2 linked regions of the Oryzias latipes genome follow. The protein of the gene in region 2 interacts with the protein of the main gene of each other region in a pairwise test. Links are inferred from orthologs where the notes say so. Each region holds a gene or a part of one and is shown on either strand. Other genes may lie near its edges.

Region 1 (4,077 bases), on a different chromosome or scaffold from region 2:
AGCCCCAGGCGCTCTTTCATTTTTCGATACCTACAGAACAAACATAAAGGGCAGCTCAAACCAAAGCATTGACTAATAAACACATTCAATATCTCTTTCACTAAAACATTACATCTGTGATAAATTCAACATTTGTCACAATTATGCAGATTAATTGATTGTACTGCAGTTTAAGATATTACAAAATACTTCAAAGTAAACTAATTGGACAAAAATGAACTGAGTAGGGCTGTCCAAATAATTGTATTTCTCCATTTAGTTAGTTCTTTGTTAGACAAAAGTATTTCTATATCAAAGATGTTTAAAACAACAATTACATTGCAGCATATTTTTAAAAGAACTCTGGCAAAAGAGCAGTTTTTGAGAATTATAAAATTCCTTAAATAGTTTTGAAGCCATTGACTATATTTATAATACAAACAGAGGTTTTGATGAATTTACAGGCAATTCTATCAAATACTAATAACCATAAGTGACTGACCTCCTTCCTCCTCTCTTCTTTCTCTGTCCGTCCAGCGGGGCTGGCAGTGGTTTGACCTGCTTCACTGGTGGAGGTTCCTGCCATTTATCAAACTTTCTCTCTATTTCTTCTTTTAGGTCATAGCCAACCTGCATTACAAAGGGAGTTGAATAACAGAGACAGAAATTATATTTCTGAATGTTCCTTTAATTTGAGATGTTTACCTTTCCATCTGGACTCTCGTGGAAACTGTCTACTCGAGAAGCCAGAGTGCATTTCGCGGCCACCAGACGAGCTGCCTTCCTCCTAAGGTCCTGAGGGGGGAGAACAAAAGGGGAAAGGAGATAACTAAGGCAAACAAACATTAGATGTGGAAAAGGTACTTGTTATTCTTGAATATGGTGTACTGACAGGAGGCAATGACTGCACAACATCACAGTGGTAGATGTAGCCCGTGTGAGGAAGCAGCGATGTGCTACTGAAGCCTGACAGAGTTTTCCTTTGGGCTCCCAGCAGCATCAAGTTGCAGGCTGGCATCTTTGAGAGGTTTGTTAGGCCTCCAGCAATGCCTTCAGCCAAACAGGGAAAAAAATTCAAAAGTAAGAAAAAAAAATGTATGGGCATAAAAAAACTTGATATTTTCTAGATAGTTTCACTTCCTCACCCATGATCTTTGCTGCAGTCGATGCTCCCACAATGATTGACAGGTTTGGAGCTATAAAGGACATTCTGGACTCTACATATTCATATATCCTGTGTTTTGACTGGTTGAGCTCCAGAGCCATGTCACAAGCCTCCTCAAGCTGCTTCAGCTCATCTTCCGTTAGCAATGACCTTAAGAGGAAAACAATAAAATATATAAAGGGAGTGTCTATGTAAATAAAATAAACAACAGACATAATAATGGAAATGTTAAAAAAAAAAGTTTATTGTAATAGGACACAAGTACCAACATTCTTAAACTTACCCCTGTGTAGTTGATGCAGTGACACTGACGACCATAATGGTGGCATTGGTTAGAATTTGCTGCAGGGTTTCATTGTTTTTACATTTCTCCAGGTTGTTTCCCAATTCCTTTATACGAAGCACACATTTACAACAAAAAAAGGGGGAAGATTTAGAGGTTAGATGCAAAAAGAAAAAAACAAACCTATGCAGAATAATGGAAACCATTCAGCAAATCTTTTCTTTTAATAGAAGAAAAACAAAATCAAAAATTTGATATCCGGTAACTTCAACGTCTCCAAACTTATCTTTTAAGATCAACAAACCTTGACTGTGCGAATGTAATCTAAAGAATCTGGAACCAAAGACTCAAGCTCTGGAAATCTCTTGGAGTATTTGTCCCTTGTAAACTTGTGAATGATGTCTGAAAAGACAGGAGAAACACAGACCTCACACTTTCAGTTGAAAGAATCCAATTTCTTCATTAGGTTTTGTCGCACAATAAAAGTCCAACTCACTAAGCTCATTGTCAATTTCAACTGTAAGATTGTTGGCTGCAACAATCAGCCTGTATTCTGGGTCAGCCTCAACTGGTCCTGAAACTGAAAGAAAATACAGGTAAACAGGAGAAAAAGAAATGGAAGTAAATCAGTAACATTTTCTGTTAAAATGCACATTTTTTCAACACTCACCATCTGAATTCTTGCGCTGTTTTCCAATATATCCAGATATTTTTTCAATTATATCTGAAAACTGAAAACAAGCAGTTAAAAGGGACTGCCTTCAGGTAGTGAAAAAAAGGAACTCTTTATGAGAGTCAGCTAAACAAAGACCTGTTTGCTATTGCGGAGCTTGGCGATAGACGTAATGCTGTCAGTTTTACTGTAGTCCACCTCCATCTCTTCGGGGATATCTTCCAGTCTTTCTGTCCTCCCTGAAGCCCCCTCTCCATCACTCCCTCCTTCCTCCCCCTCTGGGTACAGCCCATCTTCCCCCTCATCTCCAGCTTCCTCCAGGTCAGCCAGAAGCTCGTCAGCCAATGACATCTGCAATCAGAGTAAAATTCATGATCCATCTTCTAACAATGCATCTTTCAGCTTAAACGAGAGTAAAAGTGTGGGCAGTTGTTAAATTTGTGTTTATTGCAATTATTTTCAAAAGGAAGTAGATCTAACGAAAGTCTATCAGTGTTATTTTTTATAAACATCCCGTTGAAAAAAACAAAAACTGATATCAGTCTGCTATTCTGTGTTAGCTAGCTAAAGTTAGCAAACGTTCACCAAACGTCATTCAACACTGAAAAATAGTAACTTACGTCGCACTTTCAAAATGAAGTAAAACAAAACAAAAATATATTTATATTTTTTTAAAAGTCACTTTAGACAGGAAGGGTTCTAATAGAAGCCAATATAGGTAATGCTACTTGTGCGGCTTCTTGCTCCTGTTTACAACATAAAGCTCACGATCCGGGTGGTTTGTCGCAGAATAAATACGTCACGATTTCCGCATGGGATTATGGGTAAGTATCCCCTTTCCTTAAGAGATGAGAAAATAACATACGGGCTTCTTTCTAAAAATGAATGTTCGGTCTTTATGAGTTTACTTGGTTGCTTTAATTACCTTCTCTTAAAAAATGTGTAGTAGGTCGCAACTAAATACATATTTATTCGAATAAGGAGTTACATTTCAGGCCACAAAATAAAAACACAGGTTTTTTTCTAGTATTCCGAAAATGACTTTACTATAACTCTTCTTTTATTTGTAGTTCTTAAAATATTGTTTTAAAAATATTTTTCTATTCTTAATTTATTTTATATTATTTATTAGACCCTTAAAAGCTACCTGTACATAATAGGAAGAGAAGTTAAAAAAACAACAACAAATAACTAAATAAATGACTAGTAAGTTTCTGTGACAAACTGTTAAAAAAAACGTATTCAAAAGTGATGGGACAAAGTAAGAACTTAAAAACTTTACATTTTATATTTAAATTGCGTTTTAAAATATTTACACACAAAATATAATACATACATGGCAGCAAAGTACCAGTCTTGCATTCAGGAAACTAGAGTTTGGTTAACTTTTTTTTTTTTTTTTTTTTACAACAATTTTAATAAATTATGATACTTCACCATAGCACACAAAAACTTTATAGAAATAAGACAATTACCTTTACAATCAAAATTTCATTCACAAAACAATGGGCCACAAATTCTTTATCAATGGACGTTTATGCTTTGACCAATTGTGGTTTCCCACTTTATTAGACTTATATTTATTAACTGTTCTATTTTATACATTTTATTCTGTAACTGACTTCTGCTTTCAGTAGAACATATTTAAATATTACTTCTAATTGACACAATATAGGGACTCAGAAAGGACCCTGCCCTTGCAACAAATTGGTGAGGTATTTGAACGAATGAACAATGACTGGGACATGACCCGTATTGGATAAGAGGCTCACATTTTGTAGTTTTTATTGTACATCCTCCCCTTTGAAACCCAGTTTTTAAACAATACAATTTTAAACCAACATTTAAACAGACTAAACAAATGGACTAGTTGGACCTCAGCTGCATGATTGATGGCTATTAGTAGAAAATGAAATAAATTAACAAATACACAAGCAAATGGTCTTATTTACTGATGAGCAACTGTTCTGTCATGCT
Region 2 (3,650 bases):
TTATTGGGCTGTGGAACATTACATTTGAAGTATTTATATCTAACAGTTACATTTTTTAGGTTATATTTTGCTTTTTTCACACTCCTCCTTGTTTTTAGAGTTCTATTAAAGTAAAATGGGCAGATCATTTTTCTACTTCCTAGGGATTTTTTTCTCAAGATTAGTTTCCTTTTCCTGTTTTTAGCTACTTCTTTTTGCAGTGATATTACTTCAGCCCTAGTCATACGTGGATATGCTGTTATTTTCGGGTAAAGTTGGACTTTTTTGTGCCAAATCTAAAATGCAACTCTTAACTTTTATTGGATTTATTCACATTTGTTTTTATTTCATGTCAAAATTGTTGCCTTGTTTACAAAAAAATACAAAATGGGATTTTTTTTCATTCTTTCCAATCAGAATAAAGGTTGGTTTTCTTGTTCCAGATATCAAACGCCTCTACAGGAAATTTCATTTTCTACTTTTCTTTTGCTTGTCAAGACCTCCCACCCCTTTTCTTTACTTGCACTGCCATTTAAAGTTTTCTAATTAATGTCCAGGCCGAGTCTTTATTGATCGAAGCGCAGAGACAGTAGCTGCTGGGGACGGGTGATTCTTCTGCAGGCGGCGCCCGCTTTCATTAGGGAAGAGGAGATTAAAAGTGACACCATCTATCTTACAGGAAGAAAAGAAAAATGTGTCTAGGAGGGTTTGGAAGGAGCTGCAGAAAGTAAAAGAGAAGCTTTGGAAGAAGCTGCAGCCATACAAAGGATGATTTGCTGTAATTTCATCAGTTTGGGGAATTTTCAGTCGTAAAGATGAACCCTCATTTCAGGAATCCTCTGCAGATTCGGCTGCTTACCTTGGCTGCGGCCTGAGCGTTAGCCAGACTCTCAGAGAGGCGGGGGTAGGTGTAGGAGCTGTATGAATGAGCCTGGGGGGGGTTCTTGAAAGGGCCCCCGGCCACATAGGGGACCATTTGCTCCTGCAGGCCGGATCCTGAGCGCGACCTCTGTCGGATGGCTGGCGTGGGACTGGTCTGGGTCACGTAGGAACTCTTGGGCCGCTTGTCGTATTCGTCCCGCAGGCCGCCGTAGCTCCACTCGCTGTCTGGGTAGGTGATCTGCTCGCTGTGGAGGGAGGCGCGGGACGGCGTGCCCACTGACGTGTCCCGGTAGTCCTGGCTGGACGAGCCCCCCACCGAAGCGCGGTAGTACCCACTGGAGCCCACTCCGCTCCCCACCGTGGAGGCCACCTCGTCGGCGGAGCGCCCTTTGCTCTCCAGGTAGGTGTGGTAGTCTGGGGGGAGCTTGCCATAGTCTGACTTCTGAGGCATGGCGTCCGGGTAGAAGGGGCTACGGATGAGATGCGAGTGGCCATTCTGCTTGGTGAATCGATAGTGCCTCCCAACAGCCCAGTCCCCGTCGATGGAGAAGCTGGGCTTCCCGGGATCCAGTAAAAAGTCCCTGCTGGACGTGTCCAGGTCACATGAGTAGCGGGAGTAGTAGTGGTTGAATCCATTCTCCTCGGGAGCGGGGGGATGACCCCCTCCCAGGGGCTTGGAGCCAATTCCAGCCTGGTGGAGGCCGGGCGGACTCTCCTTCCGCAGGGAGTTGGAGCGCGTCACCGAGATGTTGTCGAACTCCTCCAGCAGGCCGTTGATGGATGCATCTTTGGGCGGCCGGTTCCCCCGAACGATGGTCTGCGGGTGGAAGGAACAGAGTTAACGGTCAAGACGGAAGGACTGAAGGGAAGGCCGTCGCGACTCCACAAACACATTTGCAGTAAACGTTTGTCATCAAGCATCACCAACAAGTCGTGAACTGACCAAACTAATCCCTCCCCCACTTCCTTCACAGCAGATTAACTTCCTTTTCAGCAGGATGCATTAATAACCACGATGTTAGCTTTCATCCCTCAGACGCACAACTGCACCAACATGCACACACACATGGAGGCAGCTTACACATGAGGGGTGCCACTGATCCCCTCCTACCTTTTTAAGCTCTTTACTGTGTCGTGAGTCGTGGAGGGGGGAGGTTGCATTCCTGGCGTTTGTGCAGCAAGAACTACAAAGAATATTATGCACGAAAATGATGCACAAATCTTTAGAATGCAATAAAAAAAAGGAGGCAACCCTGCCAAAGGCCAGAGATCAGTTTACATCATCAGCTTTTTGGGCAGATCAAACAAATCCACAAGTTCTTTATGTTTTTACTAACATGTACCTCATCCGCCTCTTCTCTGTACTCCACGCTTCACAAAACCTCTTCTTGTCTTTGTTCGCTGCATAAATCTTCCTCTCAAACCAAAAGTGTCACATCAGCAGCTTCCTCTCCCAATAATAAAAAAAGAAAACTGTCACCCGCTCTTCATCCTGGTCAGTTTGTCTGTCACATGTGCTGAGACACCTGGGATAAACTGTAATAATGCTGGCACAGGGATGCTGTCACTGCAGACTGCATCACTTCTGCTCCGTACGTCAGACTTAAACACATCCAGATCTCTTGGACACTAAACCATGATGGAAATGTTAGAAAAATTAACACGAAAGACCAAACTTCTGAATAAAAGTCAATATTTAATATTTAAAAATGATAAATACTATATTTGTGTACTTACATTACTTCTTTTATCCCTTGTCATCATTTCTTTTCCAGGAAAAACTCTTTTCTGGTGTAAATAATATTTTACTCCCTTTGATACAACGGAAAAAAACGAACTTAATTCTTTAGGAATATGTTATGAGCTGAATTAAGACAAGAAATTCAGGATTTCATGTTGATCCATTGATCTTGAAACATCCTCTTTTAAGTTAGCACAAGTTTTATTTATGAATATTGAGTGGTCTTGTTTAAAATAAAAGACTTGTTTGATTTAGAGAAACCTGGAACATTTTATCTGACTCATAACGATTATATCTTATTTCAAAGACAAATTCATCTTAAAACGTATAACTAGTCTCCGTTAAGATGATTATAGTCGAGAAACAGTTGGACTGTTGTACTACAAAAATGTCTGCTAATTTCGATTAGCAGAAGAATACAAGTATTTATGCTAATTTCTTGGTTAAATTTAGTTTTAAAAGAGCAGGACATCAATAATCATCTCAATAACACAAATTCTACCAGTTCTTTTAGCAGATTTCTCACTTGAAACTAGGAAAAAATATCTTGTATTTTATTTATTTATTGCTTCAAAAGGAAAGAAAAGAAAATATAAGCAAAAAAAAAATGGAATTTATCTTTGTACGTTTTACTCTAGTCTGGCTTTAAGAGGATTTTTAGTCCAGTAATACAGATATTTGGAACGTTGTATCACCTAAATCAGTATAAATTTTGAGGGGAAAGTGTATAAATAAACCTTCTTGAAGATCAAATAAAAGCTATTTTTTTAACAATACTTACTTTAAGACATCATTTTTTTTATTTGATGAAGCAAACTTAATATAAGTGTTTAGAGTTTTTCTATTTATTACTTTGATCTTTTTCTTTCTTTAACCTATTATTATTTTCAGAAGTCTTACCAGGACAAATTCTACAAGTTCCACTGGCATTTCATCCCTTATAACATATTATAAACCTTTTAAAAAAAAATTTTTATGAGGACATCATTTCCAATGAAAAACAACATGAACTGAAGCAGAGAGAAGCATCTGAACGGGTCGTTCTTAA

The links. The genes of interacting proteins can lie anywhere in the genome.
Region 1: the proteins of pak5 (region 2) and prpf31 interact in binary tests that used the Homo sapiens proteins (3 or more experiments, as listed by UniProt). The two-hybrid records come from large-scale screens. The link is inferred for Oryzias latipes from reciprocal best matches to the Homo sapiens genes PAK5 and PRPF31.

The regions. Positions count from the first base shown.
Region 1 is NC_019874.2:19,364,191-19,368,267, forward strand, and holds the start of prpf31 (U4/U6 small nuclear ribonucleoprotein Prp31), read right to left. Parts: upstream 2,894-4,077; 5' UTR 2,721-2,893; intron 2,452-2,720; coding exon 2,239-2,451; intron 2,159-2,238; coding exon 2,098-2,158; intron 2,008-2,097; coding exon 1,924-2,007; intron 1,830-1,923; coding exon 1,732-1,829; intron 1,535-1,731; coding exon 1,428-1,534; intron 1,295-1,427; coding exon 1,125-1,294; intron 1,030-1,124; coding exon 872-1,029; intron 775-871; coding exon 685-774; intron 610-684; coding exon 482-609; intron 31-481; coding exon 1-30. UniProt on the Homo sapiens protein: Involved in pre-mRNA splicing as component of the spliceosome. Required for the assembly of the U4/U5/U6 tri-snRNP complex, one of the building blocks of the spliceosome.
Region 2 is NC_019882.2:2,170,920-2,174,569, reverse strand, and holds part of pak5 (serine/threonine-protein kinase PAK 5), read right to left. Parts: intron 1,679-3,650; coding exon 839-1,678; intron 1-838.